Arabidopsis thaliana: one gene and its partner. The protein of the gene in region 1 interacts with the protein of each later gene in a pairwise test. Each region holds a gene or a part of one and is shown in the gene's direction. Other genes may lie near its edges. The genes, in order: MTACP-1 and AT4G04320.

Region 1 (5,857 bases):
AAAAAAGTTGAAAAACAGGCAAAAATTTTACAGATGGAAGACGATAACTGATCGAATCATGCAAAGGGGCTTGAGGACATTTTTTAGTAGTGTGTTTTGTTGTTCTCTATCGATTTGTTGTTGTGTTGTTGTTGCCAAATCTAACAAGAGCATCCTCCTGATTGCTGCTGAGCGAGAGATGCATTTGCATTGGAAGACTTGAGATTGACATCAACCATATCCTCTTGCTTTGTTGAAGACAATGTCTCCATTCCCGGCAAAGCTGCTGCTATCTTGCGGAAGAGCGCCTAGCAATACAAAAAGGTTTGAAATCATAAGAAAACAAGATTTGCACGGAGTGATAGCGTTATGGATTTGCGGTAATTGTTTAGAGAGTATCAGTGAAAGATCCATACAAATGAGGAGGATGTAATAATCAGCAGGTTGGGTTAAAAATTTATAAGTCTAGGTTAATTAACTATTGAATATTGATGGAACTAAACAAAGTTAGGGCTTAGTTGAACTAAGCAGCAAGTTTTTGTTGTGCAAGAAACCCTCAGAAATGTGTCAAGCCAAGATCTTTGTTACCTTAATGTTGAAGCCCGCTTTGGCACTGGTTTCGATGAACATTACATTAAGTTCGCGTGCCTTAGCTTCTGCTTCCTCTATTGACACTTGCCTGAGAAACAAAATATTTAATACAAAGGCCCAATTGGCAGTAACAAATGTAGTAGGCACCATCAAGTGTCAAAGCGTGTTGACTATAAAGAAACCCTGTAAAGATATGCAGTTGAGCAGCAAATGATTTTCCATTTATTATCTTGTAGGGTCGTTTGGCAACATACTCAATACCACCAGAAAAGTAAGACGTGGTTTAACAACAGTTTGTACTTGAGTAAAACAAAAAAGACACCCATTCGTCTTGTCAACATACTTACGAAATCAGAGCGTGTTTAAACAAGGAGGACTACCAAATTTCAGTCTCAATTGCTATTGAACAGTAATTTGCACATCATGGTTTAACAAGAAACAAGTAGAGGAAGAGATGGTAGATCATTATTACCTTTTGTCCACTAGATCAGTTTTGTTTCCCACAAGCACGACTATGACATCACTACCACGTTCTGTCCTAACCTCATCGATCCACTTAGTAGTGTTTAGGAAGGACTGCCTGCCTATATGTCAGTGGAAAACAAAATAAATCTCGAGTTTCACAACGCACAATGGATCAACATAAAGAAGAAATCGAAACGCATAAATTCATAAGATTACTGAAAACCACATCCCCAAGATCTCAGATATGGGAAAATATTCATGTGTTTGAGAGAACGAGTGAAGGTACACATACTTGCAACATCATACACAATAACAGCAACGGAGGAATCCCTGATATAGCTCGGAATTAGACTCCTGAATCGCTCTTGCCCAGCTGTATCCCTGTCATATGATTTCGGCTCTCGATGTTAATCATCAAAAAATGATCTGCAATGTTATTCTTCAGTATTCGAAAATTGAAAGAGGCTCAAGATCTTACCACAACTGAAGTCTGACCGTTCGATCTTCAAGGTACATTGTCTTTGATAGAAAATCAATACCAATTGTGGCCTGATGATTATGAAACAACATAAAAACTACTTAGAAAAGGAAGAACATTCTGTAAAATGACGATAAGCAAGCATGGTTCACATATTATTAGGAGCTTAAACGTAATTCTCATAATCACAGAACAAGATCAGATGCTTTCATTCATCAATTGAGAACTAATTCGATTAGATAAACAATGATAACATGATCAAAGAAACATCCTCATATTAGTGTTACTGCGATCTTCTATTGGACTGAATTCTCGACTTTGTACAATAAACGAGAGTGAGCGATTACGATGCCAAAATCTCATTCAGCTGATTGTTACGTCCTATACATTGACTAAAACACGATCTACAAATCAGATCACACATAATTACGCAAAACCAAACGCCCGATCACGTAAACGAGTAAGAACTTCGAACTGAAAAACACGATTCCCGTCCATGAAAACGGATCTCAAAATCAATCAAACCCTGGGATTTTCCCGACTATAATCCCTCAAAATAGAAGCAAACGTCGTGCATCGTCGAGATAATACCTAGATTTGAACAATGGAAATTTACCTGGTAAGTGTTGTCGAATTTGTCGTACATGAATCGAGTAATGATACTGGTTTTGCCGACGGATTGATCTCCCAGAAACACCAGCTTATACTTAGCGAGTGCCGAGACCGGAGCCATGATTTCTCAAGGATCTAACTCGCCGGACGGATCTGAGAAACGTCGAGATCTCGCTTTGCTGAGAATAAAAGTTTCCGATATTTACCGGAGAGAGATCCCGTCGCTCTGGAATTGCAAATACTGTATTAGTGAGAGTTTGTTATTCGTAAATTGCAGTTTATTCCTCGAGTGACCCAATTGGGTCATTTATGTTAAATTAGAAACTATTTGAGATAAGTTACAAAATATATAAAAACTTAGAAGCTGATTAAGGAATTTACTACATTATGGGCAGCATTTATAAGCCCACGTAAGGATTTGGGCTAGCCTTATAGTAGGGGGCACGTGTCATCTCGTATGACCTGAACTATTTTTGCCCCTTTTGGCTACTTGACTCTTCTGTGTCTCTCTCATCAAATCAAATCCCTAATTCTCGAGCTCGAAGAAAGAGACGAAAATGGCACTGAGAAATGCAATTCTTCGTCACCTGAGGGTTCCGGTGCAAACCCTAGGATTGAATCAGTCTAAAATTGGGTTCCTTGGTACGATCCGGTCATTTTCTTCGCACGATGATCATCTTAGCAGAGAAGCTGTCGTCGATAGAGTACTCGATGTTGTCAAGAGCTTCCCCAAAGTCGATCCCTCTAAGGTCAGCTCGATCTTCATAAAATTTGGCCAAATCGTGATTCTTATCTTTTGTTTTCCTCATTATTGGGAACAAAATGATTATTTTGCCTTGAATATTTGTCAATGTAGGAGCTTTTGGTTGATTTCGTATTGATCTAGTGGAAATAGAGACCAAATGTATCTGAAACGATGTTGCATTAGTGTTGTTAGTAAATTGAAGGTTATTGATCTCAATGTGGTTTAGTAAGTGTAGCTTATCGTGTTGTTGTTCCTATGGATTTGATTTGATATGGTCATTCTTATGGATTTTGCATTTATGAATCCTTCATCAACTCTCTCTAATAAGGGTTGTTTGGTTAGGGTTATTTTTGTTGATGGCTTTGTGATAAATATCGACAGGTGACTCCTGAGGTTCATTTCCAAAACGATTTGGGATTAGATAGTTTGGACACAGTGGAGATAGTGATGGCTATTGAAGAGGAATTCAAGCTGGAAATTCCAGACAAAGAAGCTGACAAGATCGATTCTTGCTCTCTCGCCATTGAATACGTTTACAATCATCCAATGTCTAGCTAATCGCTGTGTGCTCTCTCATGGTTTCTCCTTCCTTTTTCTTGTATGAGGTTCTTCTCTCTTTGATAATGCCATAATGGGATTTGCAAAAAAATCACTTTTATTTGGAGAGCATTGTTATTGACTCTTTTAACGGTTCCAGTTTCTTAAAAAGAAAACCTTTTTGCTTGAATCTTGTGAAAGTTGACACTTTTTCTTGAGTTAATACTTTAATACGATTTGTATATAATACACTTGATTCTTAGCATGGTCTTGATCATACATTGAAGACGAATCTTTGAAAAACATACTTGTTTTAAAAAACTGATCGTCTCTCTTGGATACATATGCAAGACCAAGAAATTGGATCTTATATACTACATTACATCATAACGTGCTATTAACTAGAATTGTTTGTCAGCCATCTTTTGGATCGAATACAGACAGTAGTTTTCATTTGGACAAGTTTTCTGCTTCATCTCAACTACAGCATTTGTACCAAAATACACCAATATCTCTATCCACAAGTTAGATGTTTTAATTAGGAGATACATTTCAGGTTTCGTTTGAATCGATTTTTTAGTAAATGGGACAAAATGGGTGAACTTACAATATTAAAAACTTGCTAAGCTAATTATGCAAAATGGATAGGGTGGAAGGAACAAAGCAAGATGCTGAAACCGCAACAGCAATGAATCTTGTAAACACATTGTAGTGATATTGATCATAATGACTAAAGAAAGACTAAATAAACATCTAACGTCAACAATATATCTCTTGATTAAGTTTAACCCGAAAGAGACAGACAATGGCGCAAACTATAGTTGTTAGGAACGATTCTGAGAAGTTGAGACGGTTCTTCAGTTCCATGAATTCCTACTTCACTCCTAAGCAAGCCAATCATTCTACACCAAATCTCTTTGCTTTCACTAACATTACTTGGTTTTCCCCATATAAACGCCAACTTTCCGTAGTATTCCCCGATCCCAATGCATCGAGCTTTGTCAAGATCTAAACCATAAACCACTCTCCACAACATCAGCTCAGAGTCATACCACATTAACCCAAATCTAAGGAAGTAAACGAAGAGCACATTGTCAATCACGCATTTTCCTGTCTTCCACCAATTATCTTCAGGTATCGTATATCTTTGATAAGAACCATCTCTAGTATCGTAAGAATTCATGTATTCCCTCGAATTTAAAGCATAAACCTTCCTATCAAGTGAAACACTTGCATGCGTGAACCATTCGTTTCTATCCTTTGCCTTAGGAATCGGCGCTGCTTCCCAAGTTTGTGTCTTTAAGTCAAATACTTCCGCTAGGATCTCTTCGCCTCTGTTGCCTCCGATCACATAGATCTTACCACCGACTAGTCCTACGGTAGCTGATAATCGCTCCACTTGCATACTAGGTCCTTGACGCCACTGTCCAGATTGGGTGTCAAAGATCCATACGATTGATGATGAGGGAAAATTATATCCGGGAATGCAGTAAATCTCTGTATCAATTGCGATATTGGAAAGAGGGTAAGAAGCATGCCCGGGACGATAAGGAACATCGATGGAGACGAAGACATTCTCAGTCGTATTCATCTTGTTATCATTCCTCCGGAGAGTGAACCAGTGAAAAGTCGTCCGGTTCCGGTTCGGGTATGTAGTTCTGGTCGAGAAGCATAGATAAAGAGAGTCCTTTCCGTGTAAAGATCGCGTCTTGTGAATCTCCGGCGAGCGAATTAGACTCCGCAAGGACTTGGAGACGCAACAGAGGATTGGGTAATATCGTTTTGGTACCAAGGCTAAGATGTTCAATACGATGTCCACCGGGAGTGAGAACAATGACGGCGGCGTCAATGAAGACGACGGTGGTTGGTTGGTTTTCTGCGGTGGTTCGTCGGCGTTAGACATCGAGAGCTATTAGGAGGAGGAGACTAGAGAACAACTGAGTGAATCAATCAAATTGAGGGCTTTAGCCAAAAACCAAAAGCCGGTTAAATTCTTCTCTGATTCTGCTTTAATCGGTTAAAACCGGTTTATATTTCTTGTCTTGATCAGGGAAACACACAGAGTTTTAGAATAAGGCCCAGGAATAAGCCCGGTGAGTGAATCTTTCTAAGGAATCGATTTTAAAACAAGGCCCATTAAAGGGTGAAGAAAAGGCCCATGAAAATGCTTAAACCCCCTTTGTCTCCCAGCTTCGTACACAGGAGAGACTGAGATAAGGAAAGAAGAAGAGGAAGAAGAAAATGGCGAATCTTAACTCAGCTATTGATTCAGTGTTTTGGGATCAGAACGTTTCTTCACCTCAAACCCTTGAAGGCACTGCTCGCTCTGTTCCCGGTGAGCCATTTCCCTTAGACGGAGCACGAGCAAGCCGCTCTCACCGGATTCAACAGCTCTCTCTGCTTCGCGAAGGCTTTCCTCTTGGAATCATTCCTTCTTTGGCTCCTGCTTC
Region 2 (8,006 bases), on another chromosome or scaffold:
CAAGCCATCTATTATTAGACAAAGACAATAACGACATCTAGCAACATACATATAAAAATACAGAACATCAATCAAGTGATTAGACAAAAACAATCATGAGACAAACTATGTGTAACAAAGGCAAGCATATAAACAATTACAGAGACTAAAAAGAAGTCATTAACATAGAAAGACGAAATCTAACAAAATAACAAACATAGAAACATAAATTTTTAAATATCAGACAAACATAGCAACATTAACTAGTTACGAAAGAGTAAAGAAGAAGCCACCAACTAGTTTCAAGAAACACGACATCTACCAAGTAGCATCAAACTCCACATGAAGCCATATACTATGTCAAAATACCATTAGCCTTATTTCAAGGTCAATAAACATTATACAGAAAATCGACAACTAGCAACAAACATTACAAAATACAGAATATCATACAACTAATGATCATACAAAGATAATGAAAAAATTACGAAGAAGAGGAAGACTTTAGTACCTGTGAATGATACTTCGAGTTCTCTGATGGAGGAGACGCTGCAAAATTGCTAATAAGGGTTTCTAGTTTGCTTAGTGGGGGTATATATATATATATAGGATTTGTGAATCATGGCTCGCAAATTTCGGAGATCGCCGCTGAGTAGTGGAGAAATCGAAGAAAGGAAAGTGAATTAGGGTTCTAAGTCTCAGAAATGCTTATATATGTTCGGGTTAGTTCGGATGGGGTTCGATTATCGGGTAATAACCGATTGGGTACGGGTAACCAAAGACATGAAATCTATAAACCGATCGGGTTATTAATAGAATCCATACCCGTACTGAACCCCTTAATTCGGGTCGGGTTCGGGTTCGGGGATCGGGTATGGGTAATGTGCCCAGTCCTATTCTCAATTATAGATGTGGAGAAACCTTATTGGAATTATCCTCATAATATATTTTTGGAGTCCCAGTCAAGAATGTCACTGAACCAGAAATTTGAATCCGGCATGCCACTTTTTGATCTGTATGCCACTTTATATGTGTTATTCCTATTTTACCCTTAATGAATAATTTTTTATTTAATTTCAAAAATAAAATAAAAATAAGAAAAACATAAATATTCTATATATAAACCCTACAAAAACGTTGGATTTAATTTAGTGACTGTATTTACTCAACATATGGACCCCACTAAAAAATATTTTATCTTTTTGCGGTAGAAGATACTCGTAGTTATACCGTTGTACCATCGTATTCATAGTTGAACTTTCCACAATTTTCATAATTTACAGTTGAATTAGAAGGTAAATAATTAATTATAAGTTGAACGCACACTTTTTCTCTATTATTTTGTATTTCCAAAGTTTTCATAATATGACATCGGTGAAAACTTGGTTTTTTACCTATTTTACTTCATATAAGGTGCTCATAGACTAAATGTTTCTTATATTAGAAGGGGTGTTTTATATGAAAACAAAATTGGATTTTAGAAAATATTAAATTTTATTGCATTGATCTAAAATTATTTATTTATAATTTGGGATATTCGTATATAATTTTACATGTATAATAAATTATCAATTTTACAAATTTAATCATTTTAACGTTATTTAGTTGAACTAGTTGAACTAATTATATTAAATGTTACCACGAAAACCAAAGAAAGACATTTGAACTAGCTCAACTAAATAAATTAAAAAGTACCACGAACACAAATACATATATGTTTTTAATCTAATCCAATAAGTTGAACTAGTTGAATTGTTCATACAAATCCGAGAAATACAAATTCAAAATACATGAATTAATTTTTTCATGTGCAACAAATTGTTCAAGTGTATCCCAGGCATAGTCTTGTTCTTCCTCTTACGACGCTTTTCTCTGGTTGATGGAAACCAGTTTTTTTTTTTTTTTAACCATTTTTTGGTGTATAAATTCAATTGGCTCTGTCGACTCGGGAAAAACCATCTCTGGTCGGCTCATCCATTTCGGCAGCCGTCGATTCTCAGGTGATGTGTCTTCCTCCATCGATATTGTTGGATCGAAATCTAGATCGATATCTCGATATTTACTTTGTCCACTCTGGAAACGTTCCTCCTTTAGAGATACCATCTCCGGTCGACTCATATATTTCATCGGTCGCTTTTTCTTCCGTCGCAACGTCTTCTTTTCTTTACAAGCGCTTTGTTTGTTCTACTCTGTCTATAGATCTCGATTGAAGAAAGTGAATGAACGAAACAAAAATGGCTGTTTAGATATTTGCAATGGTAGTCAGTACAATGTAGTAACTGAATCGCGTTGCTCCCCAAACCAATCCATTGTTGCATAATAAAATGGTATAACTGAAATTGGTTCAATTGATCTAGTTCAAATGGTTCAACTGATCTAGTTCAAATAGTTCAACTGATCTAGTTCATCTGGTTCAATCGAACGAGTTCAACTTATATAGTTCAAATTGTTCAATTGAATAAGTTCCAATCGATTTTTCGGGCGTATGATATGAGTAAATTTGGAAAATGCCTTTTTTATGAGTTTTTATTTGAAAAATACTATATCCTACTTTATATATAAAATTAATAAAATAACCTCATTATAATTTAATATAATTAAAACTTTAAACAGAAAAAATCCATAAGTTAATATTTGATTTAACTATAATTTAAAAGATAATTCTTATCTTAAATATTTTAAACAAAATTTTGTCCAAAATAATATATATAAACTATATTTATTTCAAAACTATATTTATTTCAAACTATATGTATTAAGTGATAAACTTTAAAATAATATATATAAACTATATTTATTAAGTGATAAACTTTAAAATATATTTAGATATTAAATTGTTAAATTTTAATATAAATAGATAAATAAACTATATTTATTTCAAAAATAATTAAAAATGTTATCAACAACTAAAACATATTTCGAATAATACATACATTTCGAATTTATCAATAGAGATTTTTAAAAAAAAATCTATTACTTATATTTCAAAATTTATTTAATTTTAATTTTTTTCTTCTAAATATGAATCCTGTTTTTATTTATTAAGAATAATGCTTTTAAATTTGGATAAAACTGTTACTTTACATATTAAAAATATAGTATTATTTGGGCCAAGTTAATTATTTTATTGTACTTGGGTCGGATTATTTTAGTTGGATCTGTATATTTTAATTTTTTAAAAAGTTATTTGGATATTTACATCAGTTTTAATTATAAAAAAAAATAAAATTATAAAGAATAAGTGGCATTCGTGATTATTATTTTGGAGAAAGTGACATTCCTGCCATTTATTCAAATTTTTGTGGCAAGTGAAGCGACAGGTAAAGTAAAACCGACGCCGTTTTAAAAGCCAGTGCCTTTACGCTATCCGTTGAAAAGGGAATACAAAGTCTCGATTTTTTTTTCCGATACTTGAACGGCCAGATTTTAAGGTTCCTGTCATGTCTGATTGCGAAATCGCTTTTTTCTTCTTCCTGAGTTCCTTTTTTTCTCCGATGAAATTTTAACCGTGATGATGATGATCATAATGAAACAGATATGAGCAAGAAAAATCTAGCGATTCTGTTGCGTGCTAGAATGAGATCCAACAATCCCTCCAAATTTTCCCTCTCTCAATTTCCTGTAAGCTTTTCTTTTTCTCTGTTTGAATTTTTTGGATAATTTTGCGATTCTGTCCAAATTCACACAATTTGTAATCATGGGCAATGAAAAGTTTACATCTTTTGATGAAAAAGAGAGAGAGAGAGTGAGAAATTGGCTATGGCTTTAATCGGAGCTTGAATGTTTTTAAGAAGATAAGAATATAATAAGGCTAATTTGACTCTATAATAATGGTTTGTTGACTTTGTTGTCAGAAGGAAATTCAATCTAATCCTCAAGAGAATCATTCTAGAGATCACATTGTGCAAAATTCTAATGATTTTGGTACCACTGGAAGGTAATTTCTCATTGTAGATATTGATTTAGCACCATTGATCTTTGCAGTAGTGAGTTTGGTTTTTGTTTTAGGGTTTATGATGTTGTTCGAGAGACAATGCACTCAGCTATCTCAGCTAGTAAAACTGGTGTATTAGACATTACTCTTAATGATTTTCAAGAGGTAAAACTATCTTCACATTGTTGTTTCTTGATTCTGATCTTTGATGTGTTTAACCTTTTCAATCTGATTACATATATGGTTAAAAATGCTTATAGGGTTACTTTAGCCTTTCGCTTGAAGACCGCGAGAAGTTACTGCTTGTTTTAGCCAAGGAGTATGATGTTAACCGAGAGCAAGTCCGAGAACTTGTTAAGCAATATCTTGGACTTGAAACTCCAGCTAGTGAGAGTCATTCTTGTGCCATTCTTGTTTTTTCTTGTGTGATTCTTCGTTACATTCTCCATTGATGGGCGAGTACTTTTCTTTAGGTGATGATGATAAGGGGGCTTTATCTTCTGTTTTCTATCGCATTGAGAGGAATCTGAGGCATGCTCTTAGGCCAACATATGAAGTTTTATTTGAGAGGTTGAATACACATCCTGGAGGGTTGAGATTTTTGTCCATCCTCCGAGCTGATCTTCTGTCGATACTCTCGTAATGTTTCTTGTCCTCTTGTTATGTGACTGGAAACTCAAATATTTGAAGATAGTTTCGAATCAGTTGGTAAAACATTTCCGGTTGTATCTGACACTGATGGTTGTTTCTAATGTATAGAAAAGAGAACACGCCGTCTTTGCGAACATTAGATTCTTTTCTGAAGGAGAAACTCGGTATGTGGCTTAGTCCTGCCACTTTAGAGCTTCATCAAATTACTTGGGATGATCCTGCTTCATTGCTTGAGAAAATTGTTGCATATGAGGTATGCAGTACTAGTCTCCATTATAGTAATCTCAGCTATTTCAGAATGTTAAAAGTTTTGTCTAATAACGCATTATTTATAAGGCGGTGCATCCAATCAGCAACCTCTTGGATCTTAAAAGAAGATTGGGAATAGGCCGTCGATGCTTTGGATATTTTCATCCATCTGTTCCTGGTTAGTTACTTTCTCTGGACTCATGTCTCTTTGATTGTAAGTTGACCACATTCTTTGATCATTCTATGTCGTTACTCTCAGGTGAGCCACTTATTTTTATAGAAGTTGCTCTTATGGAGACTGTTGCTCAGACAATTCAGGTCAAACTAATCTTGATACTATTCGGTATAGTTTAGATTCTATAGCTATGTGTCTAAAAAATTCATTGGCGTTGCAGGAAGTTTTGTGGGACAATCCTCCCATACCAGAGAACCAAGCAACATGCGCTTTATTTTACTCTATTTCTTCAACTCAGGTATGTGCACACTCTTCCTTCATATCTGTAGTTCTTACATTTGTTCTCGTTGATTTTCACATTTTCTATTCATTTCGTGGTTCTGATGAAAGCTATGGCTTTATGACTTCTGTCTTATGTATTTGCAGCCTGGCTTAGCTGGGATAAACCTCGGAAAATTTCTGATCAAACGAGTGATTACGTTGGTGAAAAAAGACATGCCACATGTTTCTGTGAGTACTTTGACTAATTTGTATGCAAATCTTGTTACAGGTCTAAAAGTTTGTATCTGCTTGCTCAACAAAACTGTTCTTTTTGTTGCAGACATTTGCAACACTTAGCCCCATTCCTGGATTCATGCAATGGCTCCTCTCGAAGTTATCATCTCAGTCAAGATTTGCTGAAGATGAGCGTGGTACACAGAGCAATTCGCCTTCATCTACGTTTAGTGAGAAAGTATTACTACCAGAAGAGGAACATGCCCTCATGACTCTATCAGAGTAAGATTTTCTTCATGCCCTTATGTTCTTATCTGTTATATAGAAAATCAAGTTCAAGTCATCAACTCAGTGATCTTTTTATGCAGTGAATCTTCATCCGGTAGCAACGGTATGGAAGTTCTGTTGAATTTGCTATCAGTAAAGAACTGCGATTGGGCTACTTCGCCTCGCCTATTACCAGTTTTAGAACCTATTCTTATGCGGTTATGTGCTAGGTATGTTCATTCTTGGAGGAGATGTAATGGTTATATATGAATCATATAGGCATAACTTTCAATGGTCTTTCTTGATTTTGATAGGTACCTCTTGCAAGAGAAGAAGAGAGGAAAAGCTTTAGACTCTGTTGCTAACTTCCACTTGCAAAATGGAGCGGTAAGTCCAGTGAATGACGATAGGTTTTAGTTAATAGAGTGATTGAGATTGATAAGCTTTCATGTTTTGATACGTTACATAGATGGTTGAAAGAATAAATTGGATGGCGGATCGATCAGAGAAAGGTATTCGTCAAAGTGGAGGCATTATGGTAAACTATGTCTATAGGTAAAGTAAACTTTGTACTTTAAATTATTCAGCTACGAAGCTTTCATTTTTGTTGGTCCTAAACCCATCTTATTCGATTCATGACAGGTTAGAGAATATCGAAGACTATGCTCAATCGTATTTTGGGTCGGGCAAAATCCATGCCTCTCCCGGTATCCATTCCCGTCTCTAGGTAACTCCGCAAAGAAAATCGGGTTTTGATCGATTTGCAGGTAAAAAAAACTAAGGTATCAAAACCTGGGAGTAACATAGCACAATGGTATGTATATGTATGTACAAACGGTTTCAAGTGTGTATACTCTCAAGACTCTATATATATGAATGTGATTCGAAGAGATATTCGGTTTCACTTATCAGAATCGGTTTCGACATGGCTAGTCTCCAAGACGTACTCGCGCATGAGTCTTGTGTTGGAATCATCTACGTTCTGCATTTTCAAAAACACAAGATGCTTCATTACGTACTTGCATTCATATATGTACAACGAGAGAGAGAGATAGATAGAAGTGAACCTTGAAGGCGAGGCGCTTCATATTATCCCATTCGAAATCGTTTTTACAATAAGCAGACCGTACCTAAGCGGTAACAAACGGTTTCAAACCGTAAATACAAACGTAGAGATGAGAAAAGATGTAGAAGTGTTTTCGAAAATGTATTAAAGGAGAAAAGAAAAGCTTAGCTTACCTCTAAAATTCGAAGGGCTTGTTGCATTGGCCATGATACCAAAAAAAAAAAGCAAAGTTTTTAGTTTACTTATCTCATATCAAGTATATGTATACCTAAAAGATATACGAAACTTATGGATCTACAAAGTGATTTCGTTAGTAATCCGCAAATTGGTGGAATTGTATTTCGTCACGCAATTTTTGAAGTAGTTTTTCTTTACAAGAATTGCACAGATTAGTTGTGTTATACTGTTAGTTTTGTGCCTGAGCAAATTACCCGAACCAGATGTACCAAACCAAAACCGAAGTAAACAGAACCGATAACCAGAAACTAATTGAATGGATACAAAATTTTATAATCGAAATAACTGAAACCGAATGGATACCAACCGAAATATTTTGAGTAACCAAAAATATCTAAAATATAAATATATATTTACAAAAGTATTAGTTATTTCTAGACTAGATAATTAAAAATACTTGAGAATATATATAAAATAGTAAAAATATTCAAAAATAATAAAAAAAATATCTCAAAATATCCGAAAATATCCAAAAATATCCGAAAATAACCGAAATATCCAAAAATATTTAAAGCAAAATAACCGGATGGATACTAAATTTTAAAACCGAAATAATCGAAACCGAACCGAACTTTCAAATTAACCGAAGGGATACTAAACTTTAAAACAAAAAAAAAAACGATAAGCGAATGGATATAACTGAAACCGAATATATAAACCGAACTCCCATAACTAGTTATTTTAGTGAGAAGTTTCAACTTCCAATGTACGAAAAGAATGTTTGGAAAAAGTAAAGAGATTTCGTCTAAATTACTAGAAGAAAACCAAATTTGTTAAAAAAGTATAATGTATAACTTTAAGAACCTAGAATTAAAATTCCAACTAACAAGTTTCACAAAAAGAAAACGCATACTAGAATTTTATAACCAAATTATTGATATAAAGGTGTTATTTTTGGTACCTAAGTTCATGTGACGTGAAGAGCGACGCATGAGAGTGGCGCAGAATTTATC

Evidence for each region.
Region 2: the proteins of MTACP-1 (region 1) and AT4G04320 interact in a two-hybrid assay, tested with the Arabidopsis thaliana proteins (one large-scale study listed by BioGRID).

What each region holds. Positions count from the first base shown.
Region 1 is NC_003071.7:18,411,638-18,417,494, forward strand, and holds MTACP-1 (mitochondrial acyl carrier protein 1), read left to right. Parts: upstream 1-2,563; 5' UTR 2,564-2,682; coding exon 2,683-2,874; intron 2,875-3,251; coding exon 3,252-3,428; 3' UTR 3,429-3,698; downstream 3,699-5,857. Other genes in the region: RAB6A (Ras-related small GTP-binding family protein), read right to left, coding at 141-287, 568-658, 1,043-1,154, 1,328-1,416, 1,514-1,584, 2,130-2,246; AT2G44630 (Galactose oxidase/kelch repeat superfamily protein), read right to left, coding at 4,192-5,310; AT2G44640 (TRIGALACTOSYLDIACYLGLYCEROL-like protein), read left to right, coding at 5,649-5,857. UniProt on the Arabidopsis thaliana protein: Carrier of the growing fatty acid chain in fatty acid biosynthesis. May be involved in the synthesis of short and medium chain fatty acids.
Region 2 is NC_003075.7:2,110,049-2,118,054, forward strand, and holds AT4G04320 (malonyl-CoA decarboxylase family protein), read left to right. Parts: upstream 1-3,292; 5' UTR 3,293-3,516; coding exon 3,517-3,600; intron 3,601-3,833; coding exon 3,834-3,916; intron 3,917-3,987; coding exon 3,988-4,078; intron 4,079-4,173; coding exon 4,174-4,300; intron 4,301-4,386; coding exon 4,387-4,552; intron 4,553-4,672; coding exon 4,673-4,817; intron 4,818-4,900; coding exon 4,901-4,991; intron 4,992-5,072; coding exon 5,073-5,131; intron 5,132-5,208; coding exon 5,209-5,286; intron 5,287-5,414; coding exon 5,415-5,498; intron 5,499-5,589; coding exon 5,590-5,765; intron 5,766-5,851; coding exon 5,852-5,980; intron 5,981-6,064; coding exon 6,065-6,137; intron 6,138-6,219; coding exon 6,220-6,305; intron 6,306-6,392; coding exon 6,393-6,477; 3' UTR 6,478-6,645; downstream 6,646-8,006. Other genes in the region: RbcX1 (Chaperonin-like RbcX protein), read right to left, coding at 6,652-6,732, 6,818-6,880, 6,990-7,006, 7,955-8,006.